Linked DNA regions of Mytilus edulis. The protein of the gene in region 1 purifies or fractionates together with the protein of each later gene. This does not show direct contact. Links are inferred from orthologs where the notes say so. Each region holds a gene or a part of one and is shown on either strand. Other genes may lie near its edges. The genes, in order: retinoblastoma-associated protein-like, histone deacetylase 3-like, prohibitin 1-like and lysine-specific demethylase 5A-like.

The links.
Region 2: the proteins of retinoblastoma-associated protein-like (region 1) and histone deacetylase 3-like purify together in Homo sapiens (affinity purification with western blotting; 3 studies listed by BioGRID). This does not show direct contact. The link is inferred for Mytilus edulis from reciprocal best matches to the Homo sapiens genes RB1 and HDAC3.
Region 3: the proteins of retinoblastoma-associated protein-like (region 1) and prohibitin 1-like purify together in Homo sapiens (affinity purification with western blotting; 3 studies listed by BioGRID). This does not show direct contact. The link is inferred for Mytilus edulis from reciprocal best matches to the Homo sapiens genes RB1 and PHB1.
Region 4: the proteins of retinoblastoma-associated protein-like (region 1) and lysine-specific demethylase 5A-like purify together in Homo sapiens (affinity purification with western blotting; 4 studies listed by BioGRID and IntAct, with this or other methods). This does not show direct contact. The link is inferred for Mytilus edulis from reciprocal best matches to the Homo sapiens genes RB1 and KDM5A.

What each region holds. Positions count from the first base shown.
Region 1 is NC_092346.1:87,036,148-87,043,915, reverse strand, and holds the start of retinoblastoma-associated protein-like, read left to right. Parts: upstream 1-4,759; 5' UTR 4,760-4,864; coding exon 4,865-4,881; intron 4,882-7,162; coding exon 7,163-7,313; intron 7,314-7,718; coding exon 7,719-7,768. Other genes in the region: U2 snRNP-associated SURP motif-containing protein-like, read left to right, coding at 1,393-1,507. UniProt on the Homo sapiens protein: Tumor suppressor that is a key regulator of the G1/S transition of the cell cycle. The hypophosphorylated form binds transcription regulators of the E2F family, preventing transcription of E2F-responsive genes.
Region 2 is NC_092344.1:34,971,145-34,978,639, forward strand, and holds the start of histone deacetylase 3-like, read left to right. Parts: upstream 1-4,488; 5' UTR 4,489-4,538; coding exon 4,539-4,596; intron 4,597-7,495. UniProt on the Homo sapiens protein: Histone deacetylase that catalyzes the deacetylation of lysine residues on the N-terminal part of the core histones (H2A, H2B, H3 and H4), and some other non-histone substrates.
Region 3 is NC_092357.1:67,337,062-67,344,673, forward strand, and holds the start of prohibitin 1-like, read left to right. Parts: upstream 1-4,595; 5' UTR 4,596-4,754; coding exon 4,755-4,836; intron 4,837-5,743; coding exon 5,744-5,905; intron 5,906-6,773; coding exon 6,774-6,916; intron 6,917-7,612.
Region 4 is NC_092344.1:46,177,149-46,185,132, forward strand, and holds the start of lysine-specific demethylase 5A-like, read left to right. Parts: upstream 1-4,962; 5' UTR 4,963-5,107; coding exon 5,108-5,260; intron 5,261-6,542; coding exon 6,543-6,620; intron 6,621-6,813; coding exon 6,814-6,873; intron 6,874-7,133; coding exon 7,134-7,196; intron 7,197-7,984. UniProt on the Homo sapiens protein: Histone demethylase that specifically demethylates 'Lys-4' of histone H3, thereby playing a central role in histone code. Does not demethylate histone H3 'Lys-9', H3 'Lys-27', H3 'Lys-36', H3 'Lys-79' or H4 'Lys-20'.

The DNA.
Region 1 (7,768 bases):
TAACTAATTAAATGAAATATAGATGGAGTCCCTGGGGTCACCCTACCCCTCCTGTTTGAGAACTTGGAAACCAATGAGATCCCGACCCCTAAACCATATATATTCATGTATGGGACAATATAACAAATAAAATGAAATGTAGGGGAAGTCCCTAGGGTCACCCTACCCCCAGTGGCGGATCCAGAAATTTTCATAAGTGGGGGCACGCTTCAGTGATTCCCTATATAAGCAACCAATTTTTTTCCCAAAAAGGGGGGGCGGGCCCCCTGCCCCCCTAAATCCTCTTCCTACCCCTACCTGTTTGAGAACTTGAAAACCGTTGAGATCCCCACCCCTAAATTATATATATTCATATGTATGGGACAAAATAACAAATCATTTACATTTACTATGGGCAGGTCAGTCAGACCTCACCTTTGATCCCTGTTGTAGTGAACATTTGTCTGATTCGTGTCTCATAACTTTTGTACTATAGAACACAAACTCAGTTTTCTTTTCAGGGAAACCAGTCCATTCATACTATTACATGTTCATACTAAGTCAACTTGAACTTCTAGCAGTCAAATAAAACCAAGGTTAACTACCAAATAGAACAACTGCAATCATTGGGAACTTGTACCACTGCAGACTCACCATTAAAAAATATACATTGATATATGCATTGCTTTTGAAACCTTGATAACATATAAATTATTAGCCTTAATAAATAAATCATTAGATAAACATGAATGTACTATATATGAATGTTTAATGTTGAGGCAACATTGCCACAGTTTTCATAATTACGGTTGCCTTGGTTTTTGGTTAACTGCCTTCAGCGCTTACAGCGCTTTGATTGTATTTCATTAATGTAATATTGTGTAGTCCCTTCCTTTATGTTGTATCTTATAGGAAACAATGATAAATCTCTGTTGAGTGAAAAAAATGGTTTTCAACTTTCTTTTATGCATCATATTTGAGAAACAGCATAACCATCAACAACCAAATTACATAACTTCACAATGATTAGTTAACATTTGAATATATTCTATATATTGGATGCTCAAGTCAAAATTAAAAATTAATGGTAGGATTATAAAAAAAATCAACCAGTTATCAGACTAAATTATATTGGTTCATAGAAATAAATATAAACTATTTATCATATTGAATTAAAGATGTTCACACTATCTTTAACAGTGCAGTTAAAAGCAAAAATATAAGTAATATTTGGATGTATATGGTGTAATTGACAGAATGTACATTACCAAATAACCCAAACAATTCACTTACATTTAACATAAACAAAAATGATTATACATGAATACTTCAAGAATGCTTGTCAATAGATTGTGATGATGTTATATTGTGATCTGAACCATCTAAATACATTACTTCTCCATTTCATTGTAGTCCCAAAAGATCAAGAAAGTCAAGATCAAGGTCACGAACTCCAAGGAAAAGGTCAACATCCAGAAGTCCTAGCAGACATCGACATAAACACAAGAAAAATAAATATAGAGACTGATATATAATTAATTTATTTATATGCTTTGTTGTATGAACATACTGTCCACAAAATAAGGTATCAGTTATAAATGACTAATTGGGCATGTTAAGAAAACCTGGGTGTTACAATCAATCAGTTCTCAAGGAAAACATTGATAGTGAAATAATCTGAAGAAGAAATGTGACAATCATGTCATTTTAATGAAGAAAGTCTAAACCTTGACCTTGGTTTTTATGAGGATGAACATTTGTTGAATTAGTGATTTGTGTGCAATTAGTTGTCATTACAGAACAGTGTCAAATTTAAATATCTGTCATTAGATATATAAAACCAAACTGAAAACCTGTTATTTATCATAATTTGTAAATATGTACATCTTATAACATTTCTGGTCAACATTTGTATATACTCATTTATACCACACAACAATTATCATAAAAATTGACATCAATTTAAATATTAAATGATTTTGCAGCTTCTCATAGATTAGTAGCCTGTTTTACAAGATACTGAATTGAATATAAGTTACTTCAAAAATATTCTATTTGATTTGTAATAAGACTGCTTCTCATGATAAAATATAATGTTCAGAATATTGCTTAGAAATGGAAAATAGGCTTTATGTGCTTTAGCATTATCATAGAAAGAATTTACATGTATATGTATGCACTTCTGGAAATATTTATCGTGTATCCAGAGCTGCATCTTTGAATTTTTAAAATGCATTTATATTTCAAAGGAATTAGAAGTGCACTTTGTCAACTAAATTTTTCATATAATCAAAGGTTGTTTTGAATAAAACTACCATTGTCTAAATGTTTGTATTTCTTTAATTAAAATGGCATTTATTTTTGTGATATGTTTATGGGTTAGATTGTTTATCTTAAACTAACATAGTCCTATGGCATATCTTGTTACATGGCATCCACTGGCCATCATGTTTGTCAGCTCTTAAACTAACATAGTCCTATGGCATATCTTTTTACATGGCATCCACTGGCCATCATGTTTGTCAGCTCTTAAACTAACATAGTCCTATGGCATATCTTGTTACATGGCATCCACTGGCCATCATGTTTGTCAGCTCTTAAACTAACATAGTCCTATGGCATATCTTTTTACATGGCATCCACTGGCCATCATGTTTGTCAGCTCTTAAACTAACATAGTCCTATGGCATTTCTTGTTACATGGCATCCACTGGTCATCATGTTTGTCAGCTTGCAATAACAATTTCTGTAATATTCTCGTCTGACAATACCCTGCTAATAAAAACTAATCTTTAACATAACCATCCTCAAGTTTTCATGTGTCAGAACTATCATGTTACACACCAATATGGCTGATCTTACTTTAAATAGAACAGTAGTTATTGTGAACCAAATGAAACTTTTCAACAGAGTCATCTCCTATTGGTCAATACATTTTAACTTTTGTTAGTTTTATTGTCCCATTAAATTAATTCAATAGCTATTGTTCTTGTTCTCTCTGTAGTTTATTTACTGTGAACTTTAATAAAAAATGTGGTATGATTCAGAATGAGACAACTCTCCAACAGAGACCAAATAACAACTATAGGTTACCGTTTAACCTTCTTTACAATGAGAGCAACCCATATCGCATAGTCAGCTTTAAAAAGCCTAGAAATGACAAATGAAAAAAAAAATCAAAGAGAAAGTATTTTTGTACATATGACGTCACATGTACACCCTTTTGCATGCTGAATGAGATGGTGGTATTGTGTTTGATTCCAGTGAATTAGATTAATTGGACTTTCTAGATAACTATACATTGGAAAGATGGTCTTCTGGTTAGGAATTCAAATTGCTATAATTTTTGTGTACTCAATGTTTATTACAAAACACAGATCAATAGTATTTTTTTCTGAACAGCATCCATTTTAAATCATATTGAAGAGTAATGCCAAGATTTTTGTTGAGTCAGATTCTAAGGTATGACTGTGAAGAATGTAGTTATGTTTGATGGGAGTTTTCTCGTTAGAAGCTGTGAGAAATGTACATTTGTCAGTGAAAGATCGGAGTAAGACTTGATGGTTCAGATAGTAATTTAATAATGGCTACAAAATATACAATCGGTATTGCCGTAGCGACGTTACGTAACAAGTAAATGTCCCGAAGGTTTGTGTGTGACGTTCCCGGAATAATAGCAGATATTACAGTCAGGATGAAAAGTCATCCCACTTTGCAACAGCATCAATATCTTTCTGAAGGCTATTACAATCTTTTGTTAGATTTGATACTTTTGTATATGATGCTGACAGTCATTTCAAATATTCTGGTAGGTCATTTATATATATACCAGAAATAGAACAGGACCCAGAACCTGTGGGACACCAAAAGTAACTGAAGCAACATCTGATGACTCTTGTCAAGGACTACTGTTTGTGTGTGGTTTTGTAAAAAGGTAGAGATCCAGTTTTAGTTAACATAAAGCGATGTGGGACTTGGTCAAAAGCTATTTGGCAAAGTCCATAACTATTTTATACTCTGTTTAGGTGAGAATTTAGGAGCTAGTGATGATTTTTTTTTTAAAGTCAGGACGGTAGTTTTGAGTTAAAAAAAAAAGCAGGATAAGATACATTTTTTGTACTTTCCAAAAAGAAGATGGCAGGATGACAATTTATGTAAAAAAAAGATTAGCCTCATTAGGATAAACTCTAGTCCAATTAATTATGACGTTGAGGAAAGTTTTTTTCATCGATTTTAGCTTTGACACCTTGTAAGGCGTCAAAGAAAAAAATATAGCCTTTCAATGCATCATAATTGTTTGGACTAGATAAACCAAGAAATTGCATATTTACAATTCCTATAAAGACAAACTAATAATAAAAAAGCAGGATGGAAAAGAATGATATAAAAACGCAGGACAGAGATTACAACTAAAGAAAAAGGCAATACAATTTTTTTTAGTCAGCCACCTCATTAAAAATACAAGAGACATATAATCTGGGACTATTATACTATTAAAGATATATTGATAAAACAAATGTGTCTGAAGAAGTGTGAAAACAGAGGCACATGTGTCTGGTGAAAACTATCCACCAAAGTTCAAATGAGGTGAATTTTAAAATATCTCTATAAATAGTGATTTGACTTGCTATCTTGATCATTATAATTATTTTAATTGTTATAGGCAGAAAATATCAAATACGTAAATCACGCTAAGAATGATTGAACTATTTATAAATTGGCGCCAGTAACATTTTTTCAACTTTGACCTTTAAAATATCAACCAATCAAAAAAATTGACACAAAAAAATCGCGGGATTTCTTTCATCAAAACAATAACATGTGTATCAACAAACTGATCAACAAAAACATTATAAAGTAAATTGGAATAATAACTACACGTAACATGTCGCGGTCTTCGAAGTAAGTATTAGTTCCAGAATTTTTTAGGGCTGAAGAATTGCATATGCACCTGTTATGGATATGGTCAAATAAAATTATTTTTGGAGAAGTGGGAGGGGACAGCTACATCGCTTTTAGTTTTGTTCTACTAGATTGCTTTCCCCTTTATTCTTTTAAGTCACCTTTATTTAGAGTAATTATACATTGTAAATGGTGTTAGCCGTATCACTCCTCCAGATCTGCTAGTGTAAAGTCTACATGTCTATAGAGGAATCCTTTCGGGATAACTTATTTAATACCGACAGGACAATCTCCAACAACAAGGGATTAGCACTAGCAGTGCACCAAGAAGACTTATTATGGTGGAAGAAGGCAAGAATCCCAATTGCTTGCACTAACTTTAGTGTATTGTCAGATTATATTATTAATCATGTTAATATAAATGTTTTTGTATGTCATATGAATTCATACTAAAGCATGCTTTTTCAATGGAAATTGTGACGTCACAATGCCTTCTTAATAATAATAGTGCGAAAACCCATGAGATGAAGATCGATAGTGTAAAGTAAATACATCAGGGGTCCAGTTTACCACTGCTATTTCTCATTGTTTCTCATTCTGATTTGGGGGGGAGGGGGTGGCCTCTGTGGCAGAGTGGTCTAAGTTGTTACTTCTGTAATCACAAGCCAGTCATCACTGAGGTTGTGAGTTCGAACCCCGCTCGTGCAGGAGCACTCAAATCCAATCTTTATTGACTAGGATTGTCAACTTCCCTATCAAAGGAAAACTCCCACACCCGGAGGAGTCCTTCAGCTGGCTCCTAACATATATGTTACTAATTCAGTGATAACGGACGTCATACTAAATTCCGAATCATACACAAGAAACTAAAATTAAAAATCATACAAGACTAACAAAGGCATGGCTAGAGGCTCCTGACTTGGGATAGGCGCAAAAAAATGTGGCACGGTTAAACATGTTTTTTTAGATCTCAACCCTCCCCCTATACATTGTACCTCTAGCCAATGAAGAAAAAACAAACGCACAACAATACGCATAGTAAAACTCAGTTTAAGAGAGGTCAGAGTCTGATGTCAGAATAGGTATCAAAAGAAACTAAACAAAATGTCTATAATACATAAATTAACTAAGGACTATTAGCAGTTACTGACATGCCAGCTCCAGACCTCAATTAAACTGATTGAAAGATTATGTCTTCATCATATGAATATCAAGCACAACCCTTCTCGTTAGGGGTTCAGTATTATACCATCATAAAATATATGAGAAGAACATTATAATATACTAGAACACACCCGTGACTGAATTAAAGTATATAACTATGCGTAAGCCATATTTTAGTATTCGTATTGTCATCTGATAAAAGTCATGTCGATTATCAAAATGATTATAAGATATGCAGTTTTCTCTGCTTTCAAAATCTTTCTGTTTGAACCCGTCGACCTGGAGCTTATCAATTATTGGTAATATTAATTATTTGGAAAACAAAAGGTCCTGGAATGGAGTAGTTTTTAATCAACAGCATTATCCTATATTAGCTATATATAGTTATAAATAAAGTTGAATTCTTTTAAATTCAAATTCTTCAAATTGAAAACTGTACCTATATGCCTTATTTTAAGTCTAGATTTTCAGTATTTGTATTGTTATCTTAGAAAATCTTACTGATTAAAATACTACAATAGGGAACAATTTGACAATGATTGAATTTAGTAGTGTCAACCCTGTGATTATGACCCGTGTATATAGCAAAATCCTAAATACACTGTTTGGTAGTGTGCCTGTCAGATGTGAAATGTACAGATAAGGTAATAGGTAACAGGTGAATATACTATTGGTATCGGTATTGGATTCGACCCAGAACTTGTTAATTATGTGGAAAACAAAAGGGTCTGGAGTGGTGTAATTTTTAATCTACACCATTGTCCTATATTAGCTATATATAAAGTTGAATTCTTTGATTTGTTGTTTTTATCCCACGATGGCTGACAAATTGGACCTCGTTATTTTAGTATTATAGATACATTGTATATTGGAACAAAAAATAGACACATCAAAATTCAGAAACAGTTTTAATTTTCTGAAACATAAGTGCATTTGTTTTGATTATGTTCGAAAAAAAAAACTTTGTATGTATATATTTAAAAGCTATATAGTTAAGATAATTAAGTTTGAGATGACCCGAGTCAATGACTCTCAATTGTCGATACGAAGACTGACTCTTAACCAAGTAGAAGAAGAATTGATTAAAATTGCTTTTTACAAGTATACTATTTTTCAGAGAACAGGAAATTCCAGAAACAGTAGAAACCATAGTTACAGTTGACACCAATTTTGAGAATTTGAGCAACAAACTGAAGTTGAGTAAAGATGTTCGGAATAAAGCTTGGGACTACTGGCAGATTGTGGAGAAAGTAACTGCTGATCTAAAGGTAGTGATAACAGTGTGATGATGGGTGGGGTTTGGGATGGAAGGCACAGGCACTTGATTTATTTTGTAATGGATTGGTGAGAGGTCAGGAAGTTCAAATTTTGTGGTTATGTATTCAAAGTAAAATGCAATTGTATACATGATGGCCATGAAATAGTATGCACAACTGTATGAAGAGAAAAAAGCACAATTTCTCAAGTAACTATATATACATCCTTAGCTTTGATATTTATGACTTTAGCGTTCCCGGTTGAGATTAATTAAGAAAAGCACTTTAGATGCAGCACCTCTAAATGATATTTTTTCTTTCTTAGTGTACACTAAATGGACATTGAAACATCTTAATGAATAGTACAAGTTTGATATATGTATAGTCTTCATGTTACTTTAATTTCTTCTGTTGTAGGAAATATCAAAGTCTGACCTATTGGCATGCTGCATTTACCAGGCAGTCAT
Region 2 (7,495 bases), on another chromosome or scaffold:
ATTTTCTCCGTTATTAGAAGGAATATAAATTTAAAACTTTGCAAATGTGTTTTTTATGTTAAGATGAACATAATTAGATGATAAGTAAAAAATCGCGGAATTTCCCTTTAATGTACATGAACACTAAAAATGTCACATTAAGTATATATATGATAAGTCATCAATTAAAAAAAACCAACATAATTATTGTAGTGGTCATTTTTTTTTTAAATTTTTTTAAATATTGCTTTATGTAGTTTAAAAGCTATCTATTCATGAATTTTACAGATATATCAAAATGTGGGATCTGGAAACAAACTTCACACAGCTTATATCAATCATATTTGATTTTATAAGTACATGATCCCTGTGATGAGAGTTGTAACTGGGAACTTAATCAATGAATAATTAAAACTGAATAGATTTTTCAGTCCTCACTTTCTTGAGAATACTGTCACAAAAAATTGAGAATGGTCTTAGCCTGCCGTTCAGTTGTACATAATTAAAATTCTAAAATATATTGTAGTAGTTGTTAAATTCAATTGAATTTTAGATAATTAACTCCCAACTTTAATCAAATGTTTTGATTTAGAAGGTGCAGATCTCATTGGTCCAAATTGTCTCTATGATGAATTCTTGACTAAGGAAATGAAATAACAATAAACAACAATTAGTTTCATTATTGTATTAACATCGTGACATCATACTCTTTCTAATCCTTTCTGTATATCCTTTCCAAATAACAACATTTATACCTGTGTACGCTTGAACTCACACCTGCGGCTAAATAGCTACAAGGTAAACGAATTGACCTCAAGCCGAGAATATACAGTGACCTATACAAAATAATATAAACACTCTGCTCACACATTAGTTGCATTGAAATGATTATCAAAACAATAACGGTAAATAGAACTGAAATATTTTCAGTTCAATATCAGTAAAAATGTTCAATAAATATTTTATGAAAAAAATCTCAACAATAATTAATTAAATTTATTCAAAAACATTTACTAGAGATAATTTTATAGGAGTTTAATTCAATCAATACAAAACGGTATATGCATATTCATGTTCGTTCATTCTTATATTGTGGTTAATAACTTCGACCATTCGTCAGCTGTGCGCTTTTAATTACGTATATTGTCGATAAGCTATAAGAGTTAAACAGATTTTATTTTTTCCCAGAATTCAATAAATCGGGCTAATACGTCACGACCCACTCGAGAATTCAACCCAAAAATGTATCGTCAAAAACATATTAGTAAAAAATTACCGAACTCCAATTAAATTAAAAATGGTGAAGCCCATAAAACCTGACGACATCAAACGTTAGTATTTATCACCATTGGAACGATTTGGAAAACAACTATTTTATTTCTGATTTTCGTTAACAAACAGTGGGTAAAATCTGGTTTTATAGCTAGATAAACCAACCTCTTGGCTGGCAACTCGTATTACAGTTGTTAATAGTTCGGTTATATTTACGTGTCAGTTTGGTCTCTTGTGGACAGTTGTTTCATTGGCAATCATACCACATCTTCTTTTTTTATGAGTAACTAAAACAGACATAATTGGTTAACATGACAATAATTGGGATCCAGCATCAAACACTGCGTAAACATTCACCACAGACAAATAGCACAACTGACAACAATAAATCAACACTGTGTAAACATTCACCACAGACAAACAACACAACTGACAACAATAAATCAACACTGTGTAAACGTTCACCACAGACAAACAACACAACTAAAAACAATAAATCAACACTGTGTAAACATTCACCACAGACAAACAACACAACTAAAAACAATAAATCAACACTGTGTAAACATTCACCACAGACAAACAACACAACTGACAACAATAAATAAACACTGTGTAAACATTCACCACAGACAAACAACACAACTGTCATCAATAAATCATCACTGTGTAAACATTCACCACAGACAAACAACACTACTGTCATCAATAAATCATCACTGTGTAAACATTCACCACAGACAAACAACACTACTGACAACAATAAATCAACACTGTGTAAACATTCACCACAGATAAACAACACAACTGACAACAATAAATCAACACTGTGTAAACATTCACCACAGACAAACAACACAACTGACAACAATAAATCAACACTGTATAAACATTCACCACAGGCAAACAACACAACTGACAACAATTAATTAAACAAACATAAAAAAAATCTAAAATGAGACGCCAACAAAAAAAGTTGATATAACTGATAGTATTAAATCTGACAAAGACGCCAACAAAATAATTGTGTGTAGTTGATAGTACATATATTAAATGTGTAGTTGATAGTACATATATTAAAACTTCATGTCGTTCTAGTATGAGTCACATTCTCGAAGAAGTACAAATTAAGTTAAACCAATAAAAGGATAAACAAAATGACTAACTAACATGACTAATGCCGAAACCTTGACTGGAAATTATTGTCCACTAGTAGTGGTATCGACAGTGTAGATCTATGTAAAACGTTTTGTGTTTGAATATGTTCTTTTGTTCTTTTTTTCTTGGATATTAAGATAACATCCAATAACATACATATTTCGAAGACTAAACAAGTGTGGGCACAGATCAGTGTGGATTGTGTTTGGATGGTTGACAGTGTTTTCTGACAAAAAGAGTTCTATGGTTCTAAGACCAAAATATCAATCAGTGCACATCCAAATTCTAATGGAATCAGTGTTAATAAAACGTCATTAAATCTATATTTTTGTTTCAGGACAAACTAATCTATTTTGGCTAAAGCTGGGACTTTTATACCACCAATATATTATCACCCAGGTCATAGATGTCCATGGATACAAAATTAAACTAATATTAAAATTCAAAAACTCAAAATCTTGTAATAAATTGTCTTCAAAAGTGACATGTTGAATACTATTTTATTTTAAAACATTACGTGAATTGTTGATTTTTTAAAAACAAATCATGTAAACTCTTCAATATCCAAATAGACAATTTTGTAACATTGGCTATCGGATAAAAGAGAATGAAGGGTGGTGGCAAAATTATATTGTCTGGGGTCTCTTGCAGAAGCAACAAATGAAAAACATCAAAATGGTTGAGAACTTTATACTTTTAATCAATACAGCTACCAAAGTGCAGTTCGTGTTATACTTGATAAAACCAAGCCGACCAACTCTACAACAAAGAAGTCGTGCATCAGTCACAATATTTGACAAAATTTAGAATCAACTAGTTTCAATCTAAAACACGCATTATCTGTCACCTTGTGGGTATCAATTTATACAATCATTATATTCAACACACTTCCTTACTCTTTGAGGCTTTTTGTAATGCTTTATTGACGGTCCCGATTCCGTCGTAATAGCATGACCATATAAGAAAGAGATCATGCATATCTAGTTTATGAAAATTCACAGAAAAAATCCCCAAAAAACGTAGCATGAAAAAGGTCACAGGAAAACTTGCCTCAGTAGATAAAGTTAAAATGATAAAGAATCAAAAGAGAATAGTAATTCTATTTTAAGTTTTTATGTTAGCTTTATATTGAAATCATGCAATGGTATTTAAAAAGAGACATCTTTATTTTTTAATTCAACATTTTCCTTTCTTTTTATACAATGCCGTATTTTTACCACTTAGACAAACCAATAGATAAAAGATAATTCATAAGTTGAACAAACATTTAACTTCAAAAGTGTGGGGAGGGGGGTCAGATACTATTATTTTTATCTGAGTCAGAAATATTTGTTTTAGTTTCTCGACACTACACATATTTTTTTTTTATTTTCCACTCTATGGTGTGGAGAAAATCTGAATTCAGAATATTTTTCTTTGTCATCTGCTTGACAACAATATTTTGTTTCATCAAATCAGAGGGGATCAGAAAAACTTCTTTTTTTTATAGTTAAATGGTCGTTTCTAACTCACAACCATTGAAATTAGACAAAATATTGACCACCAGTGTCTATCCGTATAGTCAACTTAACTCAGTTCGCAGCCGTCTGTCAGCTATTCTACTGAAACATGCATAATCTGTTTTAATGACATGGCCTTTTTTAAGGCAGTGGCTATTTTGCCGGCTCTGATTAAAATGTCTTAATGCAAGCCGACAATTTAAAATAGCCTATTTCTATAGAATTTCAAGTGCTATTTTACCGGAAACAGCAATATAGTGAAAATGTTGCTTAGCTCATGTAGGTTAATATATATATGCTTAGCTGTCGCAAGGATTTGTATAGTTAGATATGTACAAATCCTTGGCTGTCGTAAATACCGTAATGTTTTTTTCCAAAATAATTATATCGATTTTTTTTTATCTACCTGCTCATTGGTAAAATTAAATAGTCTACTTATAAAAATCCTTTTTACATAGTCTTAAGTTACTTAACTCTACAAACCCTCCGTAAAATTAGCCTCATGTCAAATAATTCTTGTACGTGGTTGTCTATGTTACGACGTTACTCTTCGGTAATGAGTCAAATCAAATGCTAACCTCTTTGGTAAAGAAGATAAATAAATGATATGTAGAAAAAGAAGAATGCAAAATGTCAAACCCAAATATTGCATATTTTTACGACCCAGATGTCGGCAATTTTCATTATGGTACGATTAATGCACACCCTAAGTATAGGCTTTATTGCAAAAATGGGTTTGGTGAAAATTATGGCCATCTTCCCATTGTTATTTATGAATCCGGGTCCGTCCGCCCTGATTTCGGTTCGCCCTAGTTACTGTTCGCCCTAGTTCCGTTTCGCCCTGAGACCGTTCGCCCTGATACCTGTTCGTCCTGATTTTTATTTTTTTATTTTAAGGCGTATTTGTTACAGAAAAACTGGTTTTAGTTTAAGGTTTTGGTTGGTAAGCGGAAGAAGGGATCCCGTAGACCGCCCTACGTCACGATTCGTGAATTATGCATATTCTATTTATAGGCTATTTTAAAACGATTCGGTAAATACTAATGCTAAAAATAGAATTTTCTTAACATGTAAAACTATCTTCAAAAAAAAACGATGCAAAATCATTAACTTTCATGGAGAGTGGTAAAGGGTTATTTTCGTGGAACGTGATCGCGTTTTTTTATTTCACGTTCAACGTGTTTTTACTTTTTTATTACACGTTCAGTCGTGCAAAACAGCTAGGTGTTCAACTTGTTCTTCTTATGTAATTTTTATACGTGCTTCGTGATTCAAATGCTTATTTTGCGTGCTCAGTATTTTTCAAAAAAAAAAAAAAAAAATCAAACACCAGACAGGGATCGTCAACATGGTCAGGAACGAAATTGATTTATGTTTAAACATATTTATTTATAGTGGATTGGGAAACAAGTTTTGCAACTTATATTAGTCCCTTTCCACTTTGCGGCTGTGAGTTCTGCCTTGTAGCGTAAGCATAAGCCTACTCTTTTTCGAAATCTACAAGGGTGTCTTTAACGTGCAAGAGATATGGCTCTCTCTTAACACGGGTCAGCCATTTATCGTCCCCTTCCGACGGACTATCATCGTTTCCTCAAGACCATACTCGCAAATGGTGTCGAGGGAGAGCCGAAAATTGAGTTCCTGAAAAATTTCATCCCAAACGGGAATCGAACCAGGAACCTTAAGTGTTATTAGTCCGATGCACTAACCAAAACACCACGGCTCTCTACAAATTGATTTAATTTTGTTTCCGTGAAATGATAAGGCGGCAAGGCCAATGATGTTCCTTTATTTGCATTTTAAAAGTTCAGAATATCTTTATATACTTTTTTAAAAGCTGTAAATCATTTATATCATAAATGTGTACACACTAAATAGGGAATGTTAAGTAAAACAGAGAGTTCATATATACAAGAGGACAGTGACTCAGTCACAAAAGGTTCACCTTCAAGTCTTTATTTTTTGTGCAACGTTCATGACAGAAATTATTTCACGTTCAACGTGAAATGGTGTCTTAAATAGGAAAATGTTCCGCATTACAGTAGCATATATCATTGTGCCCTCATTAAGCAAATACATATTCCTTTTAAGATATATATGATATTTCACATATATATGACACACAGTAGTGGTGCCTTAATTATGTTGTAAAGACTTGCAAATGTCCCATGCACGTGATCCCATGGCTTTGAATATACTATGGAGTTAATAATATTTTTATTATCTGCTTAATAGAGTACTTTGATGTAGGCAAATTGAAAAAAAACATGTAGCTTACACGTTCTTAGACATGAGACATTTCCTTTACGGGGTGTGAGGGGGTGGTGGTAGTGGTGGTGGGGTGGGGTGCTGGTCTTCGTTTCCCCTGTTAATTGTTTATAATGAAGCTACATGTTCTATTAGGGCGTTCTACAGGATCTTCTGGGCGGTCTACATGATCCCCTGTTGTCTGAACCTTATATTTTTACTATAGAACGTTCTTTAGGATCTCCCATATTGTTTGTTTATCATGTATATACCAAAGGACGTTCTACAGGATCACCTGGGCAGTCTATAGGATCCCCTGTTGTATGAACATTATATATAAACTATAGAACGTTCTATAGGATACTCTATTGTTTGTTAATCAAATATATACTAAAGGATGTTTTACAGGATCCTTTGGGCGGTCTTCAGGATCCCTTGTTGTCTGAACATTATATATCTACTAAAGGACGTTCTATAAGACCCCCTGTTGATTGTTTTTCATGTTTATACTATAGGGCGTTCTACAGGATCCCCTGTTGTCTTTACATTATATATCTACTATAGGACGTTCTACAGGATCCCCTGGGCGGTCTACAGGATCCCCTGTTGTCTTTACATTTTATATCTACTATAGGACGTTCTATAGGATCCCCTATATTGTTTGTTTATTATTTATATACTAAGGGCGTTATACCGGATCCCCTGGGCGGCCTACAGAATCCCCTTTTGTTAAAAAAAATATGCATCTGAGATAGGAAATTTAATAGGTTCCCTGTTCTTTGTTTATTACGTATATATTATAGGGCGTTTATGATCCCTTGGGCGGTCTGCAGGAGCCCCTGTTTTCTCAACATTATATATATATCATAGGACGTTATTTAGGATCCCCTATTGTTTGTTAATCATGTATATACTAAAGGGCGTTCTACAGGATCCCTTGGGCAGTCTACGGGATACCTGTTGTCTTTACATTATATATATACTATAGGACGTTCGTAAGACCCCCTGTTGATTGTTTTCATGTTTATACTATAGGGTTTTCTATATGATCCCTTGGGCGGTCTGCAGGAAACTATGGGTGGTCTGCAGGAATCTCTGTTTTTCAAAATAATATATGTACTATAGGATGTTCTATAAGACCCCCTGTTGATTGTTTTTCATATTATAATATAAGGCGTTCTAAAGGATCACCTGTTTTCTCAACGTTATTTATCTACTATAAGACGTTCTATAGGATCCCCTATTGTTTGTTAATCAAGTATATACTAAAGGGCGTTCTACAGGATCCCCTGGACGGTCTTCAGGATCCCCTGTTGTCTTTACATTATATATATACTAAA
Region 3 (7,612 bases), on another chromosome or scaffold:
ATAATCAATGTTGTGAGTAGTATTGATTTAAATGGACAATAGATGGACAATAGACACCTGTAAACAATAGGTGATTTAACAGGTTTAAACTGTGTAACTGAGTGGACCGTATCAAATGAAACTCGGGTGTTTGTTTATTTTGCTATCTTCTGCAGACTGGAAAAAAATGAACATCAAAATCCAGGTAAGTTTTTAATTTTCTGAAACATAGACTTCATATAACTTTTATATATCTAGTTCCTGCCATGCCTTAAAACTTTCCTGGATGTACCAGTTTGTCTGTACTCATAGTAATTTTGGAGGTGTAAACACGGCCATATTTTTCAATTCCTTATGATGAACCTTAATCTTGACAAAATATAAAATGAAGCAGCAACAGAAATAATAAAGATAAAAAGAGGCACCTTGAGGATACTGTACCACAAACCATCACTAAAAACTAACATTTCAAATCAGAACATGATGCCAGATTGACAATATAATGGCAGTGTTCATAAAAAAAGATATAGAAGGATTTTAAGTTTATCAAAGTGTACAGATACTTTCAATATAAATTATCAGTGTCATCCTAATGGTCATAGAAAGGAGGGAACTACAAAAGAAAAGGTACATGGTTTTCGAATCAAGAGTTATTTCCCCTACAAAACCTAAATATACACGTGTATAATTTTCTCAATTAAAAACAAACTTTTTAAATGTTTTGTGTACTCCTTCGTTAACACATTTAAACAATAACAAGTACATTCATTTACACATGGGATATTTAACGTCATATAAGAAAGTCTAGTTTCTTTTGTGGCGCAAGATGGCCTGATAGCGTCCCCAACATTTTATTCACTTTCAAATTGCAGTTTGACAGTAAATTACATTCAAAAAGGGTTAATAGCAGTTGACCAAAATACACAATGAAGATGTTATCGTTAACTTACCACTCAAATTTTGGTCTAGTCGCCTAAACTTTGTTATTTTCGATTTCAGTTCTCAACCACGTTTTGCATCATACAGCCACGCATGCGCCCAAAAGACCGGTCTGTTTCCGTCTATGAACTAAGTAAATGCAAAAACAAATGTCGGAAACTGATCTGTAATGTTAACGTATTATAAAAGGGCACCTGTTACACCAAGATTTTGTTTACTGTCACTGACAAATCCTTTGTTACACCCAGACCTGCCAACTTTTAAAAATCTCCATGGGGGATTTAGTGCGCGACCATATTTTTAAGGGACAATTTTTGCGGCGTTTCTGTGTGCACTGTTTTTTACTCTTAAAATAGTCTCATGTCTCTTCTTTTTTCTTTTGGTATACTGATGATGATCTTATAAGCCTTGATTTCTTTAATTGGCATGATTCTTGTACTTATTTTAAAATTGACAAAATAACTTAAGAATAGAGAAAAATGGCATTAAAAAAATAAAGGATACTTAGTGAAAACCCCTTTTTCCCCTCCAAAAACCTTATCTTTTGGACCATGACTCAAAAGACATAAACCTATATGTCCTAAAGTTAGAAGGATAAATACAGATTTTGATTAAGTCTATCAGTATTAATGAGAAAATGGATAAAAGTTGAGTTATCTTTCTTTGTGTTCGGAGGTGCTCTTACCGGCGGAGGTTTATTCACAGTAGAAGAATACAAAATGGCGTCGATTTTAAATCAACAGACACATGTCTGATTTCAAAAATTAAATGGATTTCAAGATAAACAATGTTTTTTTAAGAGTTCAATACAGTTCTCATCTTTAAGTTAATTACGATTTCGTTGTGGAACTACGGTAAACGTTGCAAATTGTGCTCGTATGATAAATTGATTAAAAATGAAAGGCCAACTGACCGACTTTCTGTTTACAAATAATAATATTAATTAATATTGAGGATTGTTATGACCAATCAGGTAATCCAATTACTTGCAACAACAAATTATGACACCTGTTGTGACCGTTGATTAGCGTAGTATTGTAAACTTGTCATAATATGTCCCCAGGTAAAATTATAGATTATCAGAAAAACTTCAAAATCGGACACCAAATAATTTTTTCGGGTATATTTTGTGAAAATCGGGATTTTGACTTGTTTTAGAATCCCGATATCGGGATTCGGGTTGAGGGATGAAAATCGGGATGATACCGCGAAAATCGGGATAGTTGGCAGGTCTGTACACCTAATCTGTTAACTTTTCTCTTTTTTTTACTTTTCAAAATAACGCTTAGACTTTTAAAAATTATAATTTAAATGAATCAGGCATGTTTCATTACATGGCGAATAGTTTATTCAATATATGTTTCGAAAAAGTTATTTTGACGAACCTCGTTAAAATTTTAATCTATTTGAAGCTAACAGCAGCCGAAAATGACCGTTTGACGTTTGCCGTTTGATACGTTTCCCTCAGTTTTAGTTTGTAACCCGGATTTATTTTTTCTCTATCGATTTATGAATTTCGAACAGCGGTATACTAGCTGTTGCCTTTATAATTAACCATTTGTAATATATCTATGAAAATTTGAAACTCACTATTGAAAGGGTAATAGATCGTAATAATGCCCTATACCGTCAGGCGTCAAACGGCCATTTTCGGCTACCGTTAGCGTGAAATTTCCGTGATTCGTCAAAATATCCTTATCGTGATTCGTCAGAGGTCTCAAATAATTATCGTTACCGTTATTTGTGGAAAAAAATAACGTGAAAATCATTCCATTTTTTTGGGTCTAAAATTAAGAAAGTGCATAATTTATCGTCATGCACCAAAAATTACCGTTAACGTCATTTGGCAAGAATTTTTTACCGTTATTCGTCATGAAGGTACCCCCATTACCACCCTCTATTAGTAATACTTTAAATTCCTTTCTATACAAAACCATTTCAGTCATAAATTTGAAAATGTGCATGCTGCATGCTGCATGCTTGTGTGCTATTTCTAATAGTGTAATAATTCGATTAAAAAATATTTTCAAAGCCAGTATTTTATAGTGAGGCATTATCATGAACAGAATTTCATAGTGAAATATTGTCCAGAAGGAGGTGACAAAATTTCATGGAGAAAGTCACTATTTCATTATGAAATACTGTCAGTGGACAATATTCTATATGAACTTTTGTCCGATAGACAATATTTCATGGGGGACATGTACAATATTTTAGGTTACAAAATCGGCATGTGGTAATATCGGATGCTCCTAACACGCACTGCTCCATATATGACACTCATGTCATGATGATCATTTTAAGTCTCGCTCAGTTATGTCCAAATCGAGGAAAATAGGTCGGGAGATTGGTAATTCGTTAACGAGCTTCGAATACTCCCGATTCCAAAACGTTTGACAAACCACTATTTATGCAATCTATAGCTATTCCTGGGAGTAGAAAGTCGTTTATAATTCAGTCAGTGAACAATTCAGAGTGTAGAAATTGTTAACATTTGATTGATAAGAAATATGGCCACATCAATGGTAATTAATAGGTGCATCCTTGGCGCTATTTTGCCGACTCCGGCAAAATAACTTTATTTATAAATAGTTTTGCTATTTTGCCGGTTTTAAGATCAAGACTTAGAAGTATACAGATTAAGAATAGAAAAAATATAGAAATATACACTTGGAAAAGAAACCTTATACAAATAAGTCTTCTATAGCACATTTATATATACAAAGCGTCCATATAAAAGTTTATATTCTTTATTTTAATTAGAAGTCTCTAAAACATGTCTTTTTTAAAACATTTTAAAAGCATACATACTAAAACTGATACTAGTTTTCTTTTCTTTAAAAGGAAGTCTGTAAACAATCTGTATTGAAATAGAAGATATGCATTGTTTACTACTTACTAAACATGCAAACCCATATGAAAAATGATAACTCTAATTCTTTTATTGATAAGCATATCATATTAGTTTTTATATAAAAATTCAACAACATCAAAATGCTTTACAAGATAAACATAAATATCGTGTGTACATATGATTTAATGAGCCAGGTCACTATAAGTGAATACACCAGACCTAGGACCCAGGATGCAAGGCGAAAACAGAGTAATTGATCACATCTAGCAACACATATCATTTATGCATAAATAGTTTCAATAAATTTGGATTTCATATATAGTCATATTAAAATCGGAGATAAGACCAGCAAAATAGTAAAACTCTATATAGATCGCTATTTTGCCGGAGCTGGCAAAATATCCACTGCCTAATTTATATCAGAGACATGTAATACGTGACAAAAACAGAAGTCATTACTAACTGCTGGTAGTGTGAACCACTATTTGACCGTGATTTGTCGTGCAGTTTATATATCCAAAGTTTTAAGAAGAAGTCAAAATACATCTAGTTCATATATGTAATAAGCTTGAATGTGATGTTTGTATGGATTTATACTTACCTGAGATATGTTCTATTCTTGAATCTTTTAATTATGAATAGGATCACATTTTTTTGAATATTCTAAAAGTATTTGTCTATATCCTCTAGATAGGTTTTTTTGTCATGGTTAATCATACTACATTAATTTCTTTTTTTTTAAATAAATTGTGGCAAATTACCAAATTACTTCTAAAAAAAACACCCTTCATCCGTATTTAAAACAGGTTCGTATCCGTCGTCCGGTAAAAGTTTTATAAAATATCCGGTTTTCATAGCATGCTGCCTTGACCAAAAAAAGTTGACCTTTCTTGGATTTTATCATCCTTTTTTATTCAGAGTGTGTGACAACAACATTTTTGAGCAATATATTCTTTCTTAACCACCACAAACGCCATAAACAATGTCTTTTCTAAGTAAAATTGGATATCTAGGCCTTGGTGTTGCTCTAGTCGGTGGAGTCGCTCAGACAGCATTATACAACGGTAAACTTCATCTTTTTGAAAACCTTATTTCGTCTTGTCGAAGATGAGTTTGACGTACTAAGATATTGTGTATATGTTAAATTTGACTGACCGTAGATTTGAGATTCGTAATTTAATTTCTAAAATGTTACACAATTATGTAATCAGCTGCACAGCCACAGGTCTAGAAGTCATGTGGGTTCAATAATCGATTCAGTGCCAGTGGTCCTTATTGACCTTCATATTTCAATTTTATTTTAGTATAGTAGAAACAATACTGGCTCTCAGAGGTAAAAATTAACAACAATTGAAATGCATGTGAACTCAAAACAAGGTTGCAGTAAAGTAGGTCATTGACATTGTTCTGGCTTTGATTTCATCACCAGACCTATAACTTACATCAGGTGCAAGACAACTAGTCACTGAGATAAAATGTGCTGATTTCAAAGAAAAGACAACTCAGAACATCTTTTAATTATAAAAAAGAAGATGTAGTATGATTTAAAAGTCATAGTCCGCTATAAAAGTCATCTTGGACCGTCAATACGTAAACTCTGACCATCTATACAATCGACTTGGACAAAGTTATATTTAGTATAAATAGGAAAGATTTGACTACATAAATGAGTTTCTTACATGAACCAAACTTTTTCTCAGAAGTTGGGCTGTCATAATCACATGATAACTCAAAGACTTTAAACAATGATTAGACAAATCAGACTGTGTATCACAACTTTTAGACAATGTTGTTTGATCAGGTTTTATTTAGTACCCAGTTGTCTCTAGGCTGAGTTGTCCTGCATTGTTAACATCATGACATGCATGATTTTTTTTAAGGTTTTCAATATTAAAATCAAATTTTTTATTGGTTAAAGAACACGTATATATATCACAATGATAGAAAATGTATTCTTTTCTATTTTTTCAGTTGATGGTGGTCATAGAGCAGTTATATTTGACAGATTCAGAGGAGTACAAGACATAGTTTCTGGAGAAGGGACACATTTTTTGATACCATGGGTACAGAAACCAATCATATTTGACATTCGATCAAGACCAAGAAGTGTTCCTGTTGTTACAGGAAGCAAAGGTAGGAAAATTTTCCATTGATAATAATATACAACGGAAACTATCGAAAAAACTATTCGTTTGTGATAACTACTAACTACCAGTGGCGGATCCAGAACTTTTCCTAAGGGGGGCCCGCTGACTGACCTAAGGGGGGGGCCCTCTCCAGTCATGCTTCAATGATTCCCTATATAACCAAATTTTTCCCACAAAAGGGGGGGCCCCACCCCTGGATCCGCCTATGACTACAGGATGTAGCTGATTAACTTGATTGTGTTTAAATCAGATGCCTGGTAGATAAAATAATTTTAAAACATCCTAGTACATTATCATGATTATGTTTTGCTTATATTTAAAGGGGTTATGGCATGGGGTATATAATAAATCATTGAGATAGCAATCCATAAGAAATAAAATATACATTTATTAGGGCAACATTATTTTCATTTAGTCTTCAATGATAGCATGATTTCAACTTGTTATCAGAAGGGTAAAAAACAAAGAATATTGAATTGTTTTCTTTTAAAGGAATGTTTCAGCCTCTGCTGCAGGGGAGGGGGTATTAAGTTATATCCTTGTCTGTCTGTTCGTGGTCCATACATCAGTTTGTCTCAAAATTGGCTTTGTTTTTTTGTTCTGAAAAACAAATGTTAAGAAACTCATACACAATGCCTAAATTACATGTACCTCAAAACTCAGATCAAGTAAAAATTTGGGTAGAGTCGCTTTTACAGAACTTTCTTGAGTTGACACATTTCCCGTATATTTATCGTGTTTATATCATGCATATTATTTGCTTATTTTCCCAATTTTGTTAGTATACAAAATCTTTGCACTTTTCTATATGATGGTTTTTGAGAAATCAAAGAATAATCATTTTATGTTTTCAGATTTACAGAACGTTAATGTCACATTGAGAATTTTATTCAGACCAAAGGCTGATGCCCTCCCAAATATATACACAAATGTTGGTCTTGATTACGATGAAAGAATTCTTCCATCCATCACAAATGAAGTCTTAAAGGCTGTAGTGGTGAGTAAATTTGATTAGAGATGCAGCGTCTCTTGTTAACATCAAAAGTATGTGTTTGATTTCACCAGAGCTATCCTATTTCCTACCGGAAAATCACTACACAAATGAACGTCTTGAAATATATTGTCTATTAAAATTAGAAAAATGCAAAGTTATAGTATTGTAAAACAGAAAGAGAGAAAGTTAATGTTAAAAGTCAAGCACACATCTGAAAACTGTTTCCGGAATATGAAACTACCTGGCATACCCTTACCCTTATTCCTTCTGCCATATTCCATTTGGCTGTATTGAAGTAATAATATCTCCAAGATAGACAATTTGATAAACTCAATGGGTAAAAAAATGTAATCTGAAACAAAAATCCCTTTTCTACTGATAATTTTATTTGCATGTTCCTCATTCAACATGTTCAATGATTGCGGTTGACTCAAAAATCTAAATTAAGCACAAACACATTTATTTAATATTTACATTTTTTTCAAATTGTCAATACATTGTTAATTGTTAAATGTAGCCTTGAAAGAACAGAAAATAAAACCCTACCAATCTGAATAAATATAAAGTAAATCTGTATAAGAAGATATGGCATGTATGGTATGAGTGCCAATGAGACAACTCTCCATCTAAGTCACAATTTGTAAAAGGTCAAAGTACAGTCTTCAACATAAAGCCTTGGCTCACATCAAACAGCATGAA
Region 4 (7,984 bases), on another chromosome or scaffold:
TAAAGCAATAAGCACATCAACGGTTCCTGGTCCCCCAGATTATATCAAGAATCTGTATTATCTGCCATAATGGCAGGGGTATCATTGGGCACCACCCAACTCATTGTTGCCAGGTTAAATGTGTCATGCAACAGTACTTGAACTTATTATACATAAGATGTAGTAAGAGGTCCAATGAGGCAACTATCAATACAAGTCACTAGCCTATTTTAAAAAGTATTGCCGAAACATTTTTCTGCAAAGTGTAGCGAGGCTAAAAATAATAAACGAAGGAATCATGCTTTCTGAGTGTTTCCCAGACCCTGTCTTAATCTGAAAGCTTGAATGTGTTCTGTTTCAAAATTGTTTATATTTTGGACTCAAAGCAAAATGTATAGAATCTGTGTAAGACTTTAGTTTCTAGGGACAACATCTAAAGAAAAATATTTAGGATAAAGCAAAAATGTAATTCACATAGTTCAGCATGTGGCCACTGGGTTTTCCTTTTTTTTTTGTGTGTGTGACTGTTTCAGCTTGCATAATTTTAATCTTTTATACCTGTAAATTATTAAAAAAAAATTCAAATAAGTCAAGAGGGGCTGAATATCATTGATATAACTATGTCAAGTAAGTTTTTATAACACATTTCAATTACAATTTGATGTAGCTCCTATAAACTTGGATACAATTTTTAGTAGTTGAAAAGTTGTAATTTTATATTAGCTATATAATATAAAACTAAAAGGTATGCAAAAAAGAATCCAGGATCAGGTGTTTAGTGTTTGTAAGCTCATGATTATGGGATTGACCCTTTCAGGATAAAGGAATTCTTTTTTCAAAATTTCATGATTATGATTTGTTTTGATTTTGGACTTCAGGATTTCATGTTTTTTAAGTCCAGGATTTGGGGATCACAACCCCTCCTACCCCCCCCCCCCCCCCCCCCCCCCCCCCCCCCCCTTTCCCTTCAATGCAGACATTTCAATTGTATCTAATTAATATTTATTCTTTTTTAAATAAAAGATATGGGAATTTTTTGCAGATTTTTTTTTTAAAAAGATGAATATTATAAATAATCTGGTGCCCTCTCAAAGTATCAAACTATGAATAGCATTTATGAAATGGCTTAAAAGACCTGCTGAGTTATTTATTTTCAATAGTAAAACATTGCAAGTCAGATTAGTTTTTACAAATTACCACAGAACAAACCATTTATTTTTGTGATCATCAAGGCAGCCCCATGTTAGGGGAGGGGGATTCTGCCAACATGTTTAACTCAACACATTATATATGTATTTGCCTGTCCCAAGTCAGGAGCCTGTAATTCAGTGGTTGTCGTTTGTTTGTGTTACATATTAGATTTTCATTCATTTTTTTATACAAATAATGTAAGGCCGTTAGTTTTCTTGTTTTGAATAATTTTACATTGTCATATAGGGGCCTTTTATAGGTGACTATGCAGTATGGGCTTTGCTCATTGTTGAAGGCTGTATGGTGACCTATAGTTGTTAATGTCTGTGTCATTTTGGTCTCTTTTGGATAGTTGTCTCATTGGCAATCAATTACCACATCTTCTTTTTTAGTTATTTATTTCACCCCCCACCATGAAATGGTTGTTCCCTTACACAACATATTTTCTGTTGAAGAACAAATAAATATACATTTATAAATATAATTTGTTCTTCTTCTTCTTCTTCTTTATAATTCAGCACTCCATCAACATACTGATGATAACGTGCCGGGCACTGATTTTACTATGCCGCGCGTGCGTGGGATATACATTTTATTTACAGTGAAAAATACAAAAATAAAAATAAAAATTTCAACATTTATAACTTCTTTTTCTTCTGTTTTTGTACTATACATTTTGGTTAAAACTATATACATTGTAGAATTTATTTAAATGTTAAGATGTTTATTGAGAACAGATATTGGAATCTGTTCTCGGAAGCTTTCAAGAGTAGTACATTGAACTGCAGCTACTGGGAGAAGGTTCCATTGCAAGATGGTTCTAGGGTAGAATGAATACTTGTATGAGTCTTTAGTGGTTTGTATGGGTCTGAAAGAGTAAATATGTGAATGTTGTCGTGTTCTTGTATCAGATTGTGTAAGTAGGTCTGTCGGATATATGGCAACAAGATGATGTATAATTTTGTAGAGGAAAATGATGCGGGTTCTAATTCGCCTTTTCTCAAGTGTTGCCCAATTTAGAGTTTGTAGCATTTCAGTGACTGAGCTGGTGTTATGGTATCTGTTGCAGGTGTACCTTGCTGCTCTGCGCTGGACCATCTCAAGTTGGTGTGTTTGAGATTTGGTGTGCGGGTCCCAGACGCAGCTGCTGTATTCTAGCTTTGGTCTTACTAGTGCAATGTATGCTTTTTCTTTGACTGTTTTTGAGTTGACTTTTAGATTCCTTTTAATAAAGTTCAGCTTTTGTGTGGCTGCAGCTGTGATATTGTTTACATGTTTGTTCCATTTGAGATCAGTTTGTATAGTTATTCCCAGATATTTTGTGGATGTTTCTTTTTGAAGTACATGTTGGTGGAGAGTATAGTCAAAATTTAATGGGTTTTTCTTAGTTGTTATCTGAAGGACTGAGCACTTGTCTGGATGGAATGACATGAGCCAGTCCTTCTCCCATTTTGCAGCTGATGTGAGATCTTCTTGCAGTTTTTGTGTGTCTTCTTTGTTTCGTATTGTTTTATAAATTATGCTATCATCTGCAAATAATCTGAGGGTACTGTGTTTGATGTATTCGTTAAAGTCGTTTATGTATACAAGGAAAAGGATCGGACCCAAAACTGTTCCTTGGGGAACACCAGATGTTACATTTATTTTGTCTGACTGAACACCATCAATGATCACTGTTTGTGTCCGAGATGTGAGAAAATCTTCTATCCATTTTAAGGTGTTGTCATCAATGCCATAATGTTTTAGTTTGTAGAGGAGTCTTTTGTGAGGAACTTTGTCAAAGGCTTTGGCAAAGTCCATCACAATTATGTCCGTTTGGATGTTACTGTTGTTATTTTTTGCTAGTTCTTGGATGAAGGATACTAGTTGGGTTTCGCATGATCTATTTGCTCGAAATCCGTGTTGAAGGTCGTACAAAATATTGTTATTTTCTAGGTGGTCCATCATACTACTGGCTATTATGTGTTCCATGATCTTACAAAGTATGCATGTGAGAGATATGGGTCTATAATTTATTGCGTTGTGTTTATCACCTTTTTTAAAAACAGGACAGACATTTGCATGTTTCCAATCTTTTGGGATTTTTCCTGTGTCGAGTGATTTTTGGAAGATGTAGGTGATTGCGGTTGAAATGTCACTACTAAGTTCTTTGAGTACTGTTCCGCAAATTTGATCTGGACCAGTTGCTTTGTTAGGATTGATCTTGTCCAGTAATTTTATGACACCTTTCTTAGAGATGGTGATCTTGTTCATTTTTGGATAGTTCGATTTTCCTTTATCCGGAATGGGTTCACTTGTTGTTTCTTCGGAAAATGCTTTTTGAAACTGACTATTTAGAATGTTAGTTTTGTCAGATGTATTGTCAGTAAGTTTACCATCTTTTCTAAGTGCAGCAATGCCTGTATTGTCATTTTTCATACTTTTTATGTATGTAAACAAGTTCTTAGGTTGTTTTTTCCTGATGTTGTCATCTGGTTCATCTACTGGTAGGTCAAATATCATTTTTTCAATGTTATTCCAGTAGGCATTACGCATTTCTTTTTGTAATGTTCTTTTTAAGTATTTGTATTTTTTCATTTGCTCTGGACTGTTTTTGCTCTTTTTATGTAGTCTTTTAACTTTGTTTATCATGATTTTTAATGTTTTATCAACCCAGGGTAGTTTTTTCTTGTTTGTGATTGTTTTCTGGGGGATGTTTTTCTTGACTGATTGAAGTAGTCTTTCTGTAAATGTATTCCATAGTTCGTCAGTAGATGAACTATGGTAATGACCTTTGATTTCTTGTGTGAGTTTGTTCACATCTTGTTTGATGTTTTCCAAGTTAGCTTTTCTGTACTGCAACATGTTTAATATTCTGCAAAACTGGAACACAATTTAAATATAATATCATTTATTTATATCTATTGGTATTTATAACAATAATATCAAACATATATCTGTATGAATATTTTTGGTGTCTCTGTTTATCTGTTTCATACTTGAGTTTCCCTAAAATTAAAAAGTGTCTCAATGACACTGCAGTCAAGAATGGAATGAATGAATATTACAAATACCTTCAAGACTATTTATTAGCGCTGAATTAACATTAACAGCCTTTCTACCCAGCTTTCTTGTCTGCTCTTCAATAATGGCATTTAAGGGGCTGATTATTATGCATTTGGTGTTATTCATTTTTCCAAGCATTTCAAAAATTAATGACTTCCCATAGCCAGTGGGTAGCATGATCAACGCATCACTTTTCATTGCACCTTGAATACTTTGCAATTGCAAAGGTTTCAAGTAGGTTAAATTAACGTTTCGCGTACAGTTGATCTTAGTTAAGGCAATTTTATGTATCAAGACATTCTTAAGTTTTTCTTTAAAATCTTTCACATCGTCTGCTGCCATATTGTTTATTGTTGTCATTTACAAATGCATGCCGGGAGAAAACACCGGCTTTCCTATTTTGATGACGTCAATATTTTTAAATTTAGAACAACCTCGATTTCAAATAAAAAGATGGCGTTATACCCTACCTGTCTTGATATATGAAATATGTAATATGCACATTGATCTAGACAGGCGAACCAGTCTACTCTAACCAATCAAAAATTTGTTTGATTAAATTCATACGCACTGACAAGTGTGAAAACATTGGAAATAAACATTTTGGAAAAAAATATTAATACATGTTTAATTTATGCTAGTCCCTTTAAAGTTTTTATTTTATATGCTAAATTATGGTTGTGGAAAAACATTCGTTCATTTTGGTACATTAAAAGATACTTTAATTAGAACTACATTGTACTTCCCATATTTAGAATAAGTATGTTCTTCGGCACCTCTCCACACATACTGGATTTTGTGTTTTAGGGATTCTACTACTATATTTTGGTCGCGTTATATTAGACCCTCTGGGTCGTTTTTGAATTGGAAGTGTCTGCCGTTGGCTTGCAGCATGGTTGACAATTCTTGTCCAAGCTTCAGGCGTCCTCCAGAGGCACCGGTATTTACTCCAACTGAGGAGGAGTTTGCCGATCCGTTGGGATACATCGCCAAAATAAGACCGATTGCAGAAAAAATTGGATTATGCAAAATTAAACCACCACCGGTCTGTTATTACTTTATAATATCATTTACTTTTCACTATTGTTGAATAATTTCTAATTGCCATTGTGTGTATTTCCCCTGAAAGTGTTGAATGAATTCTGCATGGTAATACGTGATCATACGTGCAAGTTATTTTCCCAAACATGGCGACGCCTTTTGTTCAGATCTGTCATACATTAGCACCAGCTATATAATAACTTAAAATTATAGTTATATGTTTGATAAAATGAATAGTCTATATGAAAAAAATACAACTCATGAAGTATGTGTTTACAAAATGTTTTTTAAACATGTTAAAAGTTTCTGAAAATAAAGTTATGAAACAAAGAGAAAAGCTGGGCCTCTTGTTTCTGTTTCCTACTTGAGGCCTTTTGCCTTATATGATGCAAAGGATGTACTAGTGTCTCGTAATTTAATGACTCTGTGTCTTTTATTATGATTATTAAGATTTCAACTTTTTAAAGAGTATTTTTGTATAAAAAATTCATATAATCACTACATAATTAGCAAATTTGTCTGTGTTTTACAATATAATTCTTTTTAGATTACTTCATATTATGATTAGATGAAGCATAAATAAAAAAAAAACAGTTTGTATTTTCACATTTCAATTTTACTCCAGGGTTAATCGTTTAATTAATTATAGGTTATAATTTCATATAGATTTTAGCAAAAAAAAAGGCAGAAATTTACAAGTATAATGATTTTAAAGTGTTATTTATCAAGTTAATTGTCTTTTTTTCTTATACATTCATATAAAAACACTAGGTGAAATAAATTAATGAGAAAAGAAAATCCTGGATGCAATTTAAAGATTGTTCATAACCTTTGACTGTTGACTTATTTACATCTGATCTACATGTCTTACTACAGATTTTATCTAAATATCATTTTCAAAGGCTGAAATTGAAAAAAGATGGTTGCTGTCAGCTCTAAACACTCATCTTATACTTTCCATATATTTTTGTGAGACAAAAATAAAAAAGTTGCAGGTCAAGCAAGATCTTGCAGTTTTACTCAAAAAATAATTTTGTTGAGAAAAAGAGGTTGCGAATGATTATTTTTTATTGAATTTCATCTCATTATGAATAAAATGATGAAAAATGTTAGATATGATATACTGTAAAATTCCCTATGAAGAAGGAACTACATAAAATATTTCAACCAATATGGCTGCCAAGCCAGAGACTAAAGGTAGCCATTATCAGCTTGTAAGAAAAATATTAAATATTTCTAATATATCAAATAGGTGTATTCTAATGTCCATTCTTTCGTTCATTTAGGACTGGCAACCACCTTTTGCTGTTGATGTCGAGAAATTCACATTCACTCCCAGAATACAAAGATTAAATGAACTTGATGTAAGTATATTGGGGCTCAAAATGGGCAACACTTTATAATCTTATACTTCTTGTTGCTTATTTTCGTTTATAAACTGTTTTAATGAAAAAAATAAATGAAAAATTTACAGTAACTTGATTTATTGTTAATTTATGTGAATTTTATATTCTTTTATTGATTCTATATAATAATGATTATATTTATCCTTTTCAGGCCACTTCTCGAATGAAGCTGAACTTTTTGGACCAGCTTGCAAAGTTCTGGGAGCTACAGGTAAGAATGATTCTCTTATTATTTAATTCATTATAATCTTAAATGTTGATTTTGAAGGATTTGTTAATCAACAATTTGAAATAAGAAAGAAGGTTCCCCCTTTTTTTCACAACATGTTAGCACTGTGCCAGATCTTACTTTATTTCCTTTTTCATCAGACATTGCATTGTTTTAGAAATTGTGTGAAATAAGGGACTGACTTAAAGTGTACATTGTAAATATATGCTATTATTGATCATAGAAGATTGTTTTTTTTGCAGGGTTGTTCTTTAAAAATACCTCATGTGGATAGGAAACTTGTGGATTTATATACATTATATAAGGTAAGACATACTTTTTATCTATTTTCTTCTTGTTACTTCACTATAAACATCAATCTTTTCATTGATGTCCATGTTTTCATGAATGGAGAGATCACATGATCAAAATAAGACTTTTGACCCCAGTATGTTATGAAACATATGTTTTGAATTTTCAACCCCAAAAAATGGCTGACACCAAGATAAATATAGTGTTGTGTAAACCCCCAAAAAACAAAACTTCAACATAGGGCCGGTATTGAAGCTGTAAATATACATTAAGGCAATGCCTGATCTGATTCCGTTGCTGGATAATACTATATATAAGGGTTTGTAGATCAAATAAAGAAAAAGAAATTTGCCAACCTTCCCTGACCGGTTCTGGCCCTACTTTTTATCAGAAGGTTTCAGTTAACAAACATGGGATTTTTCTTATGGTCCAGGGGGCCTCTGTGGCCAAGTGGTGTAAGAAGTTGTACTATTGTAATCACTAGACAGCCAACACTGAGGTTGTGAGTACAAACCCCGCTCATGCAGGTGTGCTCAACTCCAATCTTAATTGATAAGGATTGTCAGTTTTCCTATCAAAGAGGTCATCAAAGGTCAGTGGTTTTCTCTGGGCAAACCTGGCTTCCTCCAACAATAAAAAGTGGCCGCCATGAAATACCCCAAAAGTGGGGTTAAAACACCAAATATCAATCAATCTTTTGACCCATGTGATAGTTTAAACAATTGTTAAATTATTGCATACATGGATCTTTTAGGCAAATTTAAGTCGCCATTATCTTAATATTTTGAATTCAATCTGTAAA